3 linked regions of the Ovis aries genome follow. The protein of the gene in region 2 binds, or shares a complex with, the protein of the main gene of each other region. Links are inferred from orthologs where the notes say so. Each region holds a gene or a part of one and is shown on either strand. Other genes may lie near its edges.

Region 1 (5,720 bases), on a different chromosome or scaffold from region 2:
ATGTGTTGAACTCCTTCATTCAAAGAACCATGAGAGAGGCTACAGGAACATAAAATCGAACGCCCTCTAGGAAAGGAATAATTCACCCAACTGTAATTAAAAAGCTCTTAATGAGTCTCAGTCATAGCATATGCCTCAGGGGTCAAGGTGAGACTTTATCTTTCTCTTAATTTACCAAATTAACTATTACTAACACTTTATTAGACAGATGCTTTTACTGAGGTTAAATATGTGTGTTTCTGATACAACACAATAAATGCATCTCTGGAAAAACCTACGGAAAAATGCACAATAAATTACACGCTTATTGGGACCACAGGGTTGGGCAGGTGACTCGAAACCTACGCCACTTTGAACACACAGCACCGGCCAGAAGAACATTTGGAACTTCAGGGGAGAACTCGGACACCCAGGGCATCTAGGGGCTGCCCCAGGGGGTATACAACATGCACAAAAGCAACGGTGGAAGTGAGGTGATGCCAGTGGAAGCTGAACTCTAACCAAATTGAGATGGGCCCAGCAGAGGATGCCACCTGCTATTACCCAAGAGTGAGCAGAACCCAGAGGGCATCCTCAGGGGAGGGAGCCCTGGGGGTAGAAACTTCTACATTGACACTAACATAGGTTCCCTATTTATCAATCACAAATGAACAACTGATGTCATGGAAAGAATAATTTATCTTTGTCCTTCAGTTAAAAAAAATACAACTCAATGGAAAGTACCACTTGAATGTAAAACTTTTTTACCCTTAAGCGTATGAAGAAGTTGTTAATTTGACTGCCCCATGTAAAAGTGATTCATAGTTTACCTTCTTGACCTTGGCCTCCTTCAGTTTTTCCAATGCCAGTTTTATTTTATCAGCCTTGGCTTGAGCTTCTTCTTCTTCCTGTAAAACGTAAGACACGAACACAGTCCATTAATCATACAAGCGAGTGAGTATTCCCAACACTGCTAGCGTCGCAGTCACCTTCTGTTGATAAAAGGCTGTACTGGTACCTGCCTGGCTGTCCAGTGGTTAAGACTCACCATGTTGTGTAACTTAAACTTGTATAGTCGTGCTTGTGCTCAGCTGCTAAGTCGTGTCTGACTCTTTGTGATCCCAAGGACTGTAGCCCGCCAGGCTCCTCTGTCTGTGGGATTTCCCAGGCAAGAATACTGGAGTGGCTTGCCATGTCCTTCAGGGAATATTCCCAGCCCAGGGATCGAACCTGCATCTCCTGCATTGGCAGCTGGATTCTTTACCACTGAGCCACCAGGGAAGTCTTATGTTACTGCATATGTGCGTGCTAAGTCTCTTCAGCCGTGCCCAACTCTTTGCGACCCTATGGACTGTAGTCCACCAGGCTCTGTTGTCCATGGGATTCTCCAAGCAAGAGTACTGGAGTGGGTTGCCATGCCCTCCTCCAGGGCATCTTCCCAACCCAGAGATGGAACCCATGTCTCCCGCGGCTCCTGACTTGCAGGCAGACTCTTTACTACTGAGCCACTGGGGAAGCCCCATGTTACTGCATCTTGCTGTAAATAATATAAATGTACAAAATTCTCTCTGAAAAGTTTTTTGGACTCAACCAGGCCCTTTGAAACTTCTATAATATTATACATCAATTATATCTCAATAAACTGGAGGAAAAAAGAGCCTCTGTTCTAAATGGATCACCAATTTTCAAATAATTTTTATACAAGAATCACATAATACAGCAATGAGTAGTATTTGATATTTGTTTATATTTCCTATTTATTCATCCAAAAGATATTGTAGGGATTTTCAGGGTTCCTAGGGTTGTATTTATAAGTACTGATCAGCATACAGTACAATAAATGTGAGAGCCACAGGAAATAGAGCTAGGTTATTTCTCTAAAATATTTTATTATTTTTTTAATTTTTCTAAAATATTTTAAAAGTGGCTTACCCTAAGCAAAATCCTTAAAGCACCCTTTTTGCATTGATGAGGGACATAAACTGACATCCCAAATATTGACAATATGAACTTCTCAGAAATCTATTAATATCAAACACTTACCACCTGCTTGCCCATAACACCCCTTCCAACTTTGACTTTACAAGTGATATCTTTGCCAATGAACAAGGCTGTCAAATTCAGCAAAATTCCATTTAGTTCAATTTAGAAATAGGTAAGGAATGCCTTCTATTCTTTAGGTACTGGGCAAGGATCAGGGACACAGCAATGTGTAAATCATTTCCAAAGCACACACCAAGTTAATCAAATATGACCCCCGAAAGGTTGAGTATTATCAGGAAAAGCCATATACAAATGTAGATTTAGCCAAACTATAATAATTCCTGAATATGGCCATAATAAGTTCCTTATACTCACCACCGTGTCCTTTCACAGGCATTTTACATCTGACTTTGCAATGAACACATCTGGGATCCTTGTTTGTTTGAATCTTAGAGCCCCGGGCATACACATTTATGAATGGAACCGTCACTTTGAAGAAAGTCAGAGACCATGGGTGGCAGAGGTCAAGAGTCCTGACCCCATGGACTTACCTGAGAGATGGGTCCTGGAGGGGGTGGTGGCAGCGGAAGGTCTAACACGGGATCAGCTGGTGGAGGTGGTAAGTCATCATCATACTGACTCGTTGCAGCAACATTTGCTCCATAACCAAGAGAGGTTGTACCACTGAAGCTTGGCACACACAGGGATGCTGACTGAGGTTGCTTTTGAGGGGTCTCTTTCTGGGCCTGGATTGTCCTCTGCTCAGCTTCACTTATGTCTGCTACCAGATCTGCCATGAGAGCATCTAAATCTTGGTCTTCCAGTGCATTTAAGGACTCTGATAGGGAAAATCACATTCATGAACAAGATAATGATGTGTACCTGGAAAAACTAAATGAAAGTCATTTTAAAGTGTCAGTTTTTCTGTAAAGCAATTATCCTTCAAAAAATATATTAATTTTTTAAAAAAGAGTAAGTTTGAGTACAGGTTGCCAGGGATTGGAGTCGGGGAAATAAGATGAGGTTAGTGAAAGAATATGAACTTTTATAAGGCAAATAAGGTCTGAGGATCTAAGTATACCACAATGACTCTAGTTGCTAACTTGCTGTATGGTATAATTGAAATCTGCTGAAAGAGTAGAACTTAAACATTCTCACTAAAATAAGAAGTAAATATGCGAGGAGATAGATAGGTTAACTATCTTGATGGGGCCAATCTTTTCACAATGTAGATGCACACCAAATCTGCACATTGTACACTTTTACATATAATACAGTTTTATTCATCAAGTTAGCTTCAATAAAGCTAAAAATATCCTTTCCTTCCCCCCTAAAAAAACAAAAAACAAAAAACAAAAAACAAGGGAGGCAAATGCCTTCCCTACATTGAGCATCCTCACAGGCCACTTATAAAGTGAAATCCAAGTGCTGACTGGATGCCTATGTAGGAAATTCTTGTGCATTCTGGTGCAAAATCTTAAGAGTTTTACAAAGTAGGGGATGGGAGAGGCTGGACATGGATGGAAAGTTCTCCCAGGTCTTTGGACAGCGGCAAACAGAGCAACACTAACAAATATACTTGGAAGAGAGTCGGTCTCCACCAACTGGGATTTACTTCATGTGCCTTGAGATTTGGGGTGAGGATAGAGTTTCTGTGGGCACACCATCCAATCATGGGAACTCTTACATCTCAAAAGAGCAACTCTCACATCTCAAAAGAGCAACAGCAGGAAACAAAGCACAAAGGGCATTAAGAGTGAAAAAAATGTTTTTGAAAAATTGGGATTAACTGGTAAAGACTTCATAAGACAGTGAGTTGGAAGTTAATTCTCTTTTTTTTTTTTTTAAAGAATTTTCTCTTGTTGTTTTCAAGACTTTCTATACATTAATACTAGCAGTTAAGTATTGTTTTGTGTGTTTTTTTTTTTTTTTTGACTGCACCACATGGTTTGTGGGATCTTAGTTCCCTGACCAGGGATCAAACCTGGTCCTACTGCCTTGGGAGCACGAAGGAGTCTCAACCACTCCACCACAGGGAAGTCCTGGGAGTTAACTCTTAAAGGAAACGGCAGACCCAGATTTTCAGAGTGAGGGGGAGGGAGGATGGTTTCGCTGGAATTTCTTCCACGTGTGAGATTACTGTGAGATCACGTGCATCCAGGGAGCCACGGCCGTGAATTGAGTTGGGACGGCACGTGGCTGATCAGGCAGTCACTGGAGGGTGAGTGTGATGAACAAAGGGCGAGCAGGGTGGAAGTGATGATGAGGAAGAGAAATCTAGCTGCTGTGTGCAACGTGAACGAGATTGAGGAAATGGGGATGGGGGAAATACAGCCTTCTCAGGAACAAAGGATCAGAAGGCATGGGGAAATCATTTATTGCCCAACATCATTAGCACAAACACCATACAGCATATTATTACATTAATGCTAATGGTTCAACCCTGAATATTCATTGGAAGGACTGTTGCTGAAGCTCTGATAACCTCGGCCACTTGATGCAAAGAGCTGACTCACTGGAAAAGACTCTGATGCTGGAAAAGATTGAAGGCAAAAGGAAAGGGGGGCGGCAGAGGATGAAATGGTTAGATCTCAGGGACACCAACCCGATGGACATGAATTTGAGCAAACTCCAGGTGACAGTGAAAACTGAGGAGCCTGGCATGCTGCAGTCCATGGGGTCGCTGGGTTGGACATGACTTAGTCACTGAACAACAACAATGGTTCCATGTACAGCGCTTGGAGAAGTTTGGATCTCCTAACTATGTAAAAAGGGTTTATTTCCTCCTAAGCCAGTGTTCTTTTGCACATAACTTCTTCATAAAATTAAGTGAAATCAATTCTTAAAACCTCAGAAAGAATGTATGTAGAACTAAGGAAGTGTATTCCTAGTTTTCTAGAGCTACGAATTACACTCTGACAGATTTTAGTCATTGCTATGATTTCAAATTACTCAAGAAAAGAAACGATGCTTACCATTTAAATCCTTAAACCCCACACTGTAGTTAAATTCAACTCTGGGCGGTTTAGGATCTGGAGGAGGAAGAATGTCGACTCCTAAACTCTGTGAAAACAGAGCCCCAGCCCCAAAGTTATTCGGGATACTTACATTTTTGCAGGGCAAATTATTCATTAAGTAAAGAATCATCTACTGTTTACCCATGTTCCCTCTAAACGTGTTCTCTAAAAACTGTATTATTTGCACACTTTAGGTGATTTTTTTCCCCTACAAAAAATGACAAGTTAAAAATTATTCTAGAAAGTACACTTTGAAACAAAACATATCAACTGAGACTGATGAGAATGAAGTTGTTTGTTTTTATAAACAACAGGAAAAATTTCTGGTAATGGTGTACCTGTAACACACACGCTGTATATATAATTCATTAAGACTTAAGTTATGACATCAAAGAAAGGAATATTTAGTCACTTGAAGAAAAGAACTGTTCAGGATGCAATCTTTTATTATACAGTAAAATGTTAATGCTGTTGCTCTTATTTAATAACACTCTTGTTAAAAAGAAATGAAGACACAGTTACTCATTTTGTAAATAACATTATTTTTTAAGTGAAAAAGTGACTTCTTGTATGATTTAAAAGCTAATATTTAAAAATATTTTTACATCCATAGTTTGAGAAGTGATTTCACCTGTTCCTACTCATGAATGTTTTCATGACGGTAAGTGTATTTTTTTATGTTAATTTGATGTAGTAATATCCTTGTTCATGTTTTAAATTTCTGAAAGAAGCAATCATTAT
Region 2 (5,720 bases):
GGGCTGATTTGGGCAGGAACACTGGAGAACTCAGGGTTGGATGCAAAGGCGCTCAGATTGTCCACAGCCTCCAGCAAAGGAGCTGTTGCTGCTCGGCACTGGGCACGGTTCTCCTCTGTGAAGGCCCCATCCAGCGCCTGAAGTGGGAGTGACAGGAGGAGCTCAGGATGGACTGTAGACAAAGGCAGTGAAGCCCAGGTCTCCCTCCGGAGCTCAAAGGGCACGAAGCAGGGCTGGTGGTGACCAGTGCAGACAGGAAAGACCTTGGGCTTAGGCAGGTGGGACTGGGTAAAGGCCTCAGGGAATGACGGGGTGTAGGGGTCGGGGGAGAGAAGACTGGACAGGTCAGGGAGAGGCTGAGAATTCAAACACTGGGAACCTTGATGGTCTTGACAAGATTGGCCGTGCTGTTGGCCACCTCCTTGGCTGATTGTACAAACTGGCGCTTGGCGGTGGGATTGCTGGTTCGGGCAGAAGCTAGGCGGCAGCTGTTACACAGTGCAGACGTGTGTTTGGCCACAATGGTGGCTGCAGAGAGCACCTGAGGAGGCAGAGATGTGGAAGAGCCATGTGAGGGCAGGAGGGCCGTGTCTACACCGGGGAGCAGCCCCTTCAGCTTGGGGGATGGACAGCAATCCTTTGGAAGCCTCATTAGGAAAAACAGAGTCACCTGAAAGTCAAGATCTGGGAGACAGATACCCAAAGATGCGCAGGGTGTAGGAGAAAGGAAAATGAAAAGCCGGCACACTAATGGAGAAATCGCTCACAGGCTCAGGAGGAGACAGAGCTCAAACCTCCATAGAGAAGTCATGGAAGTAAAGGCAGTAGCGGAAGGAATGATGAGAAACACAGCCAGAGAAGACAGTGGCCCAGAGAAGCTATGGGCAGGAGGCCAGCACTGGGGCGCCACCCAGCGCTGCACGTCCTGCACCTTCTCCCACCACGGGGGCGGCCTGTCCTGGCTCAGCAGCCTTTCCCAGGCTTGCTCACAGTGACTGCACCCCCGAGTTACCTGGGCCTGGGTGCAGCCAGGCTCCCCCAAACTCTGACAGGCCATCTGAATTGCCTGGTTTGCTCGGGCAAACTGTGTGGGCTCCACCAGCCCTTGTTGTCCAGCTTGGCTGTTGGGGTCAGACACGCCAACCAGGTATGCAGCCTGTAGAGAGATAAGAGTGGGGTGAGGAATAAGGAATATTCCTGAGGTAGGACTGGAATAGCCACAGTGGGGACAAAGGGGAGCAGGGGTAAGTTCAGTGGCCAGGGTTCTACGTGAGTGGAGATACACTAGCAAACTGCAATTATAGTATAAAAGAGGGAAAAACCTCTCCTGTTTTGTTAAATGTGTTCAAACATCTCAGATTAAAAAATGACAAAAAAAAAAAAAGAAGCACAGTAAGCTTTTTATCAAAATTCAGTTCACCTGTTTATGTGTTTGTATGTTGGATCTTAAGGTAAAAAGTAGTGCTTATTCTCAGTGCTGGTAAAAAAAAAAATTTGAAAGACACACACACACACAGCCTCTTTTAGGGGCTAATAAAACTGTGGGTGGTGTTAGGCTAATTAACACATAACGCCTCCAAGCTTCAGAGATTTAGAAAGAGGGAAGGGATGGTTGCCAAAAACTGTTTCTGCTTGGAAGATCATCGTAAGGTTTGATTCTTACTTCACCCAACACATGATAGCTTTGCATTTTCTTCCTCATGCTTTTCCAGAAATACGTCAAACCATATACAGCAGGACACCCAATAGAACAGGGCACAGGGAAGCAGGGAGATTGAAGGAAACAGGCTGACAGGATGAGCTCTCAAGTCAGTTTGTTTTAAGGATTCATAAATAAAAGCAAAATACTCTGAGCCGATGGATCGTTTTATACTTCATAATGCAGAAAATGGCAAGTTAGGTGGTGACTCAAGTAACTGGGAATTTGGTGTAATAATTATGTGTGGACTTCCCTGGGGGTCCAGTGGTTGAGACAGCACTTCCAAACTCAGGGTGCATGAGTTTGATCCCTGATCACGAAACTAAGAGCCAGCTTGCCGTGTGGCTCAGTGAAAAAAAAAAAAAAAAAAAAAAAAAAGTACTAATTATATGAAAATAATTTGCATATGCTAGGCAGAATATACCAGGCAAGCTGGGGCCAGATTCAGTGGTTGTTCAGTGTAATCACAACTGAAAGCACCAGGGCTCAGCGGTGACAGTGATCAGAATTGTTGGTGTTCTATGCTTGCTGACAAACACCTCTACTTTAGGTGGGGAAAGATCCCCATCTTCCACACAGCTGGCTTTATAACTTTGTCTTCTGTGCATGTGGGTCAGAGTCCGAGGAGGTGGGCTAGAGACAACAGGGGAGTTCCAGGGACCATCCCAGGAGGATAACCTGTGCAGCTGCCTCGGTGAAGCCGCAGAGGGCCTTGGAGGCTGTGGCGACAGCCTCCCCAAACTCTGGCAGGTTTCCGTTCTTGGCATTTTGGGAGATGCCGGTCATGGCCTCACCCAGCACCTGGGGAACAGAGGGTATAGGGAGAGTCAGATCTTGTCCTCAGGGGGAGAGGGCAGCCCCTGGCTGGCTCATTTTCCTACCCTCTCCCCTCCTTGGGAGGGGACTGGGTACACCTACCTTCGAGTTTTCCATGACGCTGTCCAGACAGCCGAAGTAGGACATGTCATTGATGGGTTGGACTGGGTTCTCAAGGAGTTCCCGGACAGTCTGTCGGGTGGGGGAAGGGGGTGCAGTTGGTGGTGAATTGAGATCCAAGACGCCCCATCACTGCCCTTTAGCCAAGAACCCTTTCCTCAACTTCAACCCCATTTAGCCTGCCAAGGCCCACCTCCAATTCCCGCAGGGCATTGTCACACTCCTTCTGGCCTGGCGCCTGCTGGGTGCACATGCTGATGAGCTGATTGATGCTGTCGGTCACTGCCCTGGGAGGAACAGGAAGTAGAGTGAATGAGTGCAGAGGTCATCACTTCTACATCCTGCTCACGTAGCAAGTCTCTAGCCATTTCTTTTTTGTCTGGAACAATTCCTGAGCCAGAGACTTCTTACAAAACGTCCCCTCCCCAGTCTGCTTAACATGCAAGGACTTGGTTTCCCAGCTCCCACTTACCGGGCAGCTGCAGCCAGCTGACTCTTGAGGGTTGGGGCTGCAGGGTCTGTGGACAGGGCCTTGGCAGCGAGAAGAAGTTTGCTTGAAGACATGGAGATGCCCTTCAAGTTGGACACAACCTGGGCACGATCCTCCTGGCTCTGTTGAGGGCAAGAAGGCCAATGCATTGTTCAATCTTTTCTTGTCTGTCTCTAAAAGGGATTCTCTGTCTCAGACACCCAAGTACTGCTAGAGACTGGGGAGGGGAGGGGGCCAGGAGCAGGTCAGGACTCCTTGGTCACAGAGACACCCCTGACCCTTGAACCGTACCCAGCTTCCCTTCATACCGGAGCCTGGCCTGCCATCTCCACGCCAGCTTCCAGGAAGGTGCTAAAGTCCTGTCCAAATCGACCTGAGGCTCGGGCCAGGTCCTGAGGGGTTCCCCGAGAGGCCTGCACCAGCTCTGTGGCTGCCTGATTCAGCCCGGCAGCCGCTTCATTCAGCCGGCTCTGAGCCTCCTGAAAGGTCCCAGTGCTGGGGGGAAGCTGCAGGATCAGAGAGAGAGTCAGGAGCAAGGATGGGAGATGACATGAGAGGGAGCCTGGTGAGGGAGCTTGGGGAGGTGGGCACAGGCCTGGGGGAGCAGTGAGGGGAGGGGGTGCATCTGGGGAGTTAGGGTGATGGATAGGTCTAGAGGTAGATACTTGGAGTCCTTTGTCCCCATGTCCCCTCACACCCCTGTCCTCCTACCGAGTCACTCAGGAGTCGCTTGCTGGCATCTCCCACTGCCCTCAGGGCATTGTCCACATCACGCTGGCCAGGTAGGCAGCTGACGCAGCGGTTCAGGGCCTGGGTCACAGCTTTAGCCACCTGAGGTGGGAAGGGAGACAGGGGTTGCCAAAGCAGAAACAACTGCAAGATCCCCGCCTCCACCCATGGGAGCCTCTGAAAGTGAAAGCAGAAAGGGAGTGCTATAGCTGAACAGCCAAAGTATCGAGTTAGGGTATCAAACTTCCCCAAATGTGGTATTTGGCTAGGCCCAGGCCCCGCTTTCGCTGAGACTCTTCTACTCAGACTGAGAAGGAAGGGTGGAATCCAGAGAGGAGCCACAGTGCTGACGAGACACCCCCTCGAGGCAGCCTTCTGAGGGGGTCGGGGGAGAGGGAGGAAGCAGCCTCGGCCCAAAACCGAACCTGGGCAAGCCGCTGCTGGCTCTCAGGGTCCCCAGGATGGCCGGCTGCTTTCTTCGCCTCCTCGATGAGGCTGCTGGCCTTGTCCAGGACATCGCTGGCTGTGTCGAGCACAATGGCTTGCACTGCAGGATCTGACGTCAGGGCAGCTACGCCCCTAGCAGCTTGGGCCAGTGACCGCAGCCCACCTGCCACATCCCGAGCTGCAATGCCTGGGGAGACAACGAGAGAGAAAGGAGGAAAAAAGGTAGCTTCACTGCCAACCCCTGATGCTGGGGGCTTCCTGTGTCACCCCACGCCTCCTACAGCTCCCATTCCCCCTCCTTCTCCCTACAGGCCCCATCCTGGCCCTAACCGCATACCTGCGTAATTCTCATTGCCCTGGGCAACCTCCCCCAGCAGCTGGGCAATGGCGGAGCTCACGGCTTTGGTGCTGTTGCCCAGGTCCTGGGCACATTTCTCCATCTAGGGATGACAGGGAGACTCGGACTCAGCCACAGGAGAAACAGGGAAGAGAGAGCTTGAGAAGCTACTGAGAGTCAGCAGGCAGTTTCAACAAAGGTTCAGGGCAGCTCTGGGACACAGGTGAGAAGGAGCCTTCAGATCTCACAAGTACTTACTGTCTCCCCAGGCAAGGGCTTCAGCTTGCCGTCTCGAGCAGCTGCCTTCACTTCCTGCAGGTCTCTCTCCAGATTCTGCACCACACTCAGAGCAGAATCCATTTCCAAAGGCCCACACGCTTCCTGAGCCTACAAACACACGGGGTGAAGGGGGAGAGTTCGAGGGGTAGGAGGTACACAGGGTCTCACTTGTGGCTCAGGTTACAGTTATCCATTTTAGGATAGCCTGAACAGATTCTCCATTATCCCAGGATACCCCCTTCATCTTCCAAAAATATAGCCAGCTTCCATACCTTCTGGGCAGCAGTACGGAGTTCAGCCAATGCGGTGCCAAGGTTTTTAGCACACTGACTCAGCTGCATGGCCGATGCCTGGTCCTGAATTGTTGGCACGGAGGCCTTTGCGGCCGCCACCATCTTCCCACCTGGCTGTTGGGGAATAGGTGGGCAGATGAAGCACACCATATGCCCTCTGGGCTTGGGTACAGGGATGGATGAGGGTCAGGATGTGGTGAGCACTAGGGTTCAGTACTGGGAGAGAGACTAAGGGCAGAGACTTAAACTGATGAGATCTAAAGGCCCTAAGAGGAGTGGGAAGGGTGTGGTCTGAGTGGTCAACAAGGGGGCCTTGCCTGCAGGAAGCTTTGGCTGGCGGCGATGAGGGCTAGCTGAGCACTGGGGCTGTCAGGCTGTGCTTGGCTCCCTCGGACACCCTGCACCAGCAGTGGAATCTGCTCTGCCACAGCCTGTGGGTAAAAATGTCATGAGCACCACCTTCCCACAGGCTGGGGGAAAGTCCCCACCTCCCGTGCCTCCTCCAGCCCC
Region 3 (5,720 bases), on a different chromosome or scaffold from region 2:
CACCACTTGCTTCCCCTCCATGCTGACACCTGGCAGACATCAGTGTATGGGCTCCCCCTTGCAGCTGTAACAGATCACCACAGACTTGACCTGCTAACTGCACAGATTGATTATCTCACTGTCCTGGACGGAGCTAAATCCAGGCATGGGCAGGGCCCATCCCTCCGGAGGCTCCAGGGGAGTGCTGGCTCCCCCGTTTTCCAGCGTTTTCCAGGTTCTAGAGGCACTGCGTCCCTGGCTCACGGCCCCTCCCTCCATCCTCACAGCCAGCAGAGCAGCATCTCCTGTCTCTCTGCCTCTGACCTTCCCCCTCCCTCTTATGACGACCCTGCGATGGCACTGGGCCCCTGGGAATCCAGGATCATCCCCATCTCGGGTTTTAACCCCACCAGCACAGCCCATTCTGGGACCAGAATATGAACACCCTGGGGGTTGGGGCAGATATGTGCTGAGCACTCGCACTGAACAGATAACCCTCACAGAAGCCAGCTTTCTGGGTGAGGATGCCGGCTCAGCAGGGCCTGGGCTTGGCCAGAGGGCCCCGAGGAGCTGGGCTGGAGGGGGTGGTCGTGGTCCCGAGAGGTGAACATCGCTGGCCGTGGGGACGGGGACCGGGGGTGTCCTTGGCTGGCTGGCTGGCTCTCCATCGCCTGGCGGCCTCGGGGGCTAGCGCTGTCACTCTAGCCTGGGCCGCAGCCGCTGATCACTGCCGCCTTCCGTGCTTGGGCTCCCCAGCGATGGGCTGTGCCTTGTCTCCACCCGCCCTCCCACTACCCCTGCCTGCAGAGCTGCGTCAGCGTGGTCGCTCCGCGTCCACCCCCACATTGCGTCTCCAGGCCTATTTACCACGCGGGGTCCCTACCACCTCCCCAGGGGCACAGGGTGTGTGTGGGGGGCGATGCTGATGGCAGAGGCCAAGGGTCCAGACTAAAGCGTCCCTTCTCTTCCTCAGGTTCGGCCCAGAAAAAGACAACCCCAGTAGAGGTGAGTGTCCTCGGGGGCCCACCCTCCCTGCCTCCCGAAAGTGGACGGGGCAGTACCCTGCCCTGCCCGCATCCTGCTCCGTGGCCTTAGGCGTCTCACTGCACTTCCCTGGGCCTCAGATGCTGGCATAGCAAATAGGCACATGTCGTCAGACAGTGGAAACGGTCTGTCCCACCAGCATCTTGAGTTTCTGGGAGGGATGGGGTGGGTGGGGAGAGCCCCGAGGGGCCTGGAGAGGATGGCCCCCTGCCTGTCCCTGTCAGCAGTACCTTCAAGCCGGCCTTCCCCCCCACCCCCTGCTGTCCCATACCTGCCCACCGAGGGTCCCACTGGTCCTGTCCCCAGGCAACTTTTCCTGGTGGTGGCCACTTGCGTGAGCCCTTGGCACCCTGTCTCTAGTTTGTTGGTTTCCGGTCACTCCTGGAAGCCACCTGCGAGGGGCGTCTGAGCCCTGTTGTCTGAGGAGCCATGGACAGCAGGTTAGAGGACCCCAGGTATAGCGGGAGCCACCCTGACAGCCATGTTCCCTCCCAGCCAGGCTCCTCTCCCAGGACGCTGCTGGGCACCCAGGGTCCTTCCTGTGACGGCTTTGCCCATCTGCTGGGGCCCTGGTGGGTGTCCAGCTGACAGGCAGTGGGGAGCCAGCGAGGGGTGCAGAGCAGGGCTGGCAACTAACGTTGCCTGAGGGAAGCCCGCCCCCTGGTGGCCAGCGTGCAGAACAGGCTGGTCTGAGCCCTGTGAATGGTGGCAAGTATGCACCATCTTTGGGGCGGCCTCGGCCCAGCTCTTGAGCTGGTGTGTCTCCTTCAGGCCCCATGGCCCTGTGCACCATCTTTCCCCTGCGATGTCACACAGGAGGGCCAGTGGCTTCCGCACAACTTTGCCAGGATGTCACTCATATGCTGTGGAGCTGGCAGGAACCAGCCTGCTCCCAGACCAGCGGGACCTCTCCCTCATCTGGGAGGAGATACTCTCATTTCAGTCCAAAGGGTTTCACCCAGCCACGTCTGGGAACATTCGTGGTTGTCACAACTGGGGGCCTCCTGGCAGAGAAGAGGTGGGACAGTGATGTTGCTATGCACCCCACAGCACCCAGGGTGCCCCCCTAGAGAGTGACTAGCCCCAAGTCAGCAGTGCTGGGGGTGGGGGTGAGCCTGGGGTGGGGGTGACCCTGGAGTTGGGGCTTTTCTCCCTGCAGAGGGCCCAGGCTGCTGACTTTCTTTTCTGGAGGTCCTGGTCTGGGTGTGGCCCCTAGATGTGGGATGTCGGCCCCCAGAAAGGAGCCCCCGTGCCCGCAGCCTACCCAGCCCCCGCCCCAGACTCCAGCTGGGATTTCCAGAGCATTCTGGTTTCTCGCCAATTCTGAACTTCTTCCTTCCTCTTCCCCAGGTCCCACTGATGACTGGACAGCCCGGCCCTGGCCATGGGAAGAAGCTGGGTCATCGAGGCGTGGATGCATCTGGCGAAACCACCTACAAGAAGGTTCCTGCTCTTCCCTCAGTCAACGGGGGTGGGACAAGGGGGCCCCCACACGTGTGCACGGGGCCCACGGAAGGTCAGGTGTGGGCTGTTTGTGGCTGGAGGCTGCACCACCTGCCTGGCTCCTCAAGTCACTGTGGCCTTGACTGTGACCTTGGGTGAGAGGAAATTGCAGCTTCCTCCCGTCCCTTGGGAGTGGGGCGGAGGTGAGGTTGGGCCAGGGCTGTGCGTGGTGAGCTGGTCCCGCTGCTGCTGGTCCTCTCCGCCTGGTCACACCTCCTAAAAACACCCACCTCACTGAGAGCGAGTGTGTGCAGTGAGTGAGTCACCCTTCTGAAGTGTTCAATTAGACGGTTTCTAGAGTATTCAGAGCTGTGCAACCATCGCCAGAGTCAATTTTAAAGCATTTCTCTCACCTCAAAAGCCCTGTCCCCATTTGCCTCCCCCATCCCCTGACAGCCAGGAACCCACTGTCTGTGTCTGTGGATCAGCCTGTTCTGGACATTTGCCGTCAGTGGGGTCACATTCTGTGTGTCCTTCTGTGTCTGCTTCTCTCACTGAGCATCGTGTTCTCGGGGCCATCCACGTGGTAGCGAGTGTCAGGGAGAATCGGGGGTCATCCATGTGGTAGCGAGTATCAGGGCTTCTCCCTTTTTGTAGCCGAGCGATGCTCTCATGGGCAGGGGGACCATGGTCTGTGTATCCACCCTCCACTGATGGACCTTTTCTGGCTGTTGTGAGCAGTGCTGTTGTGAGGGCTTGTGTCCAGATGATTTTGGGGACTGCACTGCCCTCCTTGGGCCGCAGTCCTAGTAGTGGAACCGCTGGGCCCCCCGGGGGGTCACAGGTAGCCCTTGGAGGAGCTGCCACACAGTCCACCGTGGCCATCCCATTCTCCATTCTTGCCAGCTGAGCATGGGGACTCCACTCCCCGTCCTGTGTGGTGCTGGTCTGTCTGATCTGTCCCTCCCGATGCATGGGCAGCAGGTCTCACTGTCTAGATTTGCACCTTCCCTGCGTCTGGTGGTACCCAGCACCTTCTGTGCTCACTGGCCATCTGTGTATCTCCTCTGGAAGACTGTGTTCAGTCGATGTCATCTTGAGGGAATGGATGGAGGTGGGGCTTCGGGAGGAGGGGTGGGCACTTGGGAAGGGCTTGACGCTGCAGCGGGGGTGCTGGGGACCCGAGTCGGTAACTTGAGGACCAAGGCGTCTTTCCTCGATGGTGGGCGTGTTGCTTAAGGCTCATGGTGACGGTGACGTGAATGGCAGTGCTGACAGATGGACAGGCAGCTGGTTCTTCTCTAGGGAGGGCGGCATGAGGGGCCCCAGGAAGGCCAGTGCCAGGGTGGAGGACTGGGATGCAGAGAGGCAGATCCCTTTGAGAGTAGACAGAAGGAGCCCGGGTCTCAGAAGGGAAGCCTGGGCATTGCTGGATGCTGTACTCCTGCTTCCCAAAAGAGAACCCTGGCAGTGGTAGACCCTCCCCCATGTCGGGGCAGTTCTGAGCTATAGGAACCTTCTAGAATGTGGATAGAAAACAGGCCACGGGGCCACATGGTGGTGTTGGAGCCTCAGCCAGGCCACTTCCTGGCCATGTGGTTATGCAGGCTGAGTGGTGGGCCTGAGGCCAGCACGTCTGTGACGGGCTCGGCAGGTGCTGCCTGGGGACCCCTTGGAGGTAATGGGTGTCAAGGGCTGAGCCACAGGCCGGATGCTGCCCCCTTCATCCTAAGGGGGCTTCCTGTCCTGTCTCGGACCCTGGCAGCCAAGGGATGGGCCCCAGGGGTTTTGATGCAGCTGGGTTTCCCGCAGACCACGTCCTCTACCCTGAAGGGGGCCATCCAGCTGGGCATCGGCTACACCGTGGGCAACCTGAGCTCCAAGCCAGAGCGTGACGTGCTCATGCAGGACTTCTATGTGGTGGAGAGCATCTTCTTTCCCAGGTACCCTGCCCGGGCCGCTCCAAACCCTCTGTACTCTCCCTGCATGCACACACCGCCCCCCTGCTATTCTTTCAGCCTTTTTCTCTGCTGGAAATGGCTCCGGCCCTTCCTGGGCTCCCCTTGCCTTTGAGGTCCAGCCCTGTGTTAGTCGGGATGTTTGCTGCTGAATCAGAGAAATGCAATAGAACGGCAGCTCTTAGAAAGAGAGGAAGACAAAAGTTTGTTGTTTCTCTCTTTCTAATATGTGTGTGCGCGTGTATACCTAGACACACACACACACACACACACAGTCCAAGATTGGAAGATTGGTCAGGTGGCTCCATGATGTTACTGGGCCCAGATTCCTTCTGGTTTCTCCACCATCTTCTATGCTGCTTTACAAACCAGTGGCTGCAAGAGCCGCCCAGGTTCCTGCCATCACAGCTGCATTCCAACCACAGGAAAGAGAAGGAGAGCACATGCCCCTGCCCTTTAAGGGCATGACTAGGAAAAGACCAAGTCATTCTCCTCTCATGGGATTGTGCAAGCACAGCACCCTGATCATGCCTGGCTGTGGCAGAGGCTGGCAGTGGTCTTATTCTGGGTGGCCATGTGTGCACCCCACACTGTGGGCTAATGAAGGAAGGGGAAGGTGGTCATTGGAGGACAATCTGAGACTGGCCACAGCCCTTGGTCCCGTGTCCAGCATGGGAGCCCCATGTCACTTTTTGGGTTGGCTATTCGGGTGCCTTGGGGCTGGGCCTGGGCGGGTAGGCAGACTGTTGGTGGGGGAAGGGAGTGTACATGGGCCTGGGTCCCTCACAGTCTCCCCCCTGCTTCCTCTGCAGTGAAGGCAGCAACCTCACTCCCGCCCATCACTTCCAGGACTTCAGGTTCAAGACCTATGCGCCTGTTGCCTTCCGCTACTTCCGGGAGCTCTTTGGGATTCGGCCAGATGACTACTTGGTGAGTGTGTCCTCAGCAGCCTGGCTCGGGGCTTAGATCACCACCTGCTTGTCGTCCTCGGCCTCCATGGGGCAGGGACATGGCTGCAGCGTTGCTGGGCTCCTTGCTCAGGTTGTCATCTGGGGCTGGGCTGTGGCCTCAAGTGGACTCAACTGCATTGGGTCCCTTCCAAACCCCTGGCTTCATCAGCCAGGCTCTGTCCTTGCTGGCCAGGACGTCCATTCCTTCCAGATACTACGGTCTCCTCTGTGACTGTCCCATGGAGCCGACCGAGACCACTTCTGGGATCACCCACCAGCCCCTGGGCCTGTGCGGTGTCGGTGACCACCCCCATCCATCCACCATCCCCTTTTCAGTACTCGCTGT

The links. The genes of interacting proteins can lie anywhere in the genome.
Region 1: the proteins of TLN1 (region 2) and APBB1IP are in contact, whole or in part, in a crystal structure (PDB 4W8P), measured with the Mus musculus proteins. The link is inferred for Ovis aries from reciprocal best matches to the Homo sapiens genes TLN1 and APBB1IP. Residues at the interface, in NP_035732.2 of Mus musculus: Leu1492, Ala1495, Thr1496, Val1498, Ala1499, Thr1502, Ser1503, Cys1506, Asn1507, Arg1510, Val1526, Ala1529, Lys1530, Ala1533, Asn1534, Thr1536, Ala1537, Val1540, Ile1543, Lys1544, Asp1547; in NP_062329.2 of Mus musculus: Asn5, Ile8, Asp9, Met11, Phe12, Thr14, Leu15, Glu18, Met19, Leu21, Leu22, Ser25.
Region 3: the proteins of TLN1 (region 2) and PIP5K1C are in contact, whole or in part, in a crystal structure (PDB 1Y19), measured with the Mus musculus proteins. The link is inferred for Ovis aries from reciprocal best matches to the Homo sapiens genes TLN1 and PIP5K1C. Residues at the interface, in NP_035732.2 of Mus musculus: Pro209, Val210, Gln211, Leu212, Leu214; in NP_032870.2 of Mus musculus: Pro646, Leu647, His648, Tyr649, Ser650, Ala651.

What each region holds. Positions count from the first base shown.
Region 1 is NC_056066.1:17,352,690-17,358,409, forward strand, and holds part of APBB1IP (amyloid beta A4 precursor protein-binding family B member 1-interacting protein), read right to left. Parts: intron 5,026-5,720; coding exon 4,938-5,025; intron 2,801-4,937; coding exon 2,514-2,800; intron 888-2,513; coding exon 810-887; intron 1-809. UniProt on the Homo sapiens protein: Appears to function in the signal transduction from Ras activation to actin cytoskeletal remodeling. Suppresses insulin-induced promoter activities through AP1 and SRE. Mediates Rap1-induced adhesion.
Region 2 is NC_056055.1:52,827,612-52,833,331, reverse strand, and holds part of TLN1 (talin-1), read right to left. Parts: intron 5,642-5,720; coding exon 5,528-5,641; intron 5,325-5,527; coding exon 5,190-5,324; intron 5,026-5,189; coding exon 4,897-5,025; intron 4,742-4,896; coding exon 4,639-4,741; intron 4,489-4,638; coding exon 4,280-4,488; intron 3,957-4,279; coding exon 3,837-3,956; intron 3,632-3,836; coding exon 3,434-3,631; intron 3,248-3,433; coding exon 3,108-3,247; intron 2,923-3,107; coding exon 2,829-2,922; intron 2,708-2,828; coding exon 2,618-2,707; intron 2,501-2,617; coding exon 2,378-2,500; intron 1,157-2,377; coding exon 1,013-1,156; intron 542-1,012; coding exon 380-541; intron 138-379; coding exon 1-137. UniProt on the Homo sapiens protein: High molecular weight cytoskeletal protein concentrated at regions of cell-matrix and cell-cell contacts. Involved in connections of major cytoskeletal structures to the plasma membrane.
Region 3 is NC_056058.1:18,080,410-18,086,129, forward strand, and holds part of PIP5K1C (phosphatidylinositol 4-phosphate 5-kinase type-1 gamma), read left to right. Parts: intron 1-952; coding exon 953-984; intron 985-2,373; coding exon 2,374-2,466; intron 2,467-4,278; coding exon 4,279-4,409; intron 4,410-5,236; coding exon 5,237-5,354; intron 5,355-5,710; coding exon 5,711-5,720. UniProt on the Homo sapiens protein: Catalyzes the phosphorylation of phosphatidylinositol 4-phosphate (PtdIns(4)P/PI4P) to form phosphatidylinositol 4,5-bisphosphate (PtdIns(4,5)P2/PIP2), a lipid second messenger that regulates several cellular processes such as signal transduction, vesicle trafficking, actin cytoskeleton dynamics, cell adhesion, and cell motility.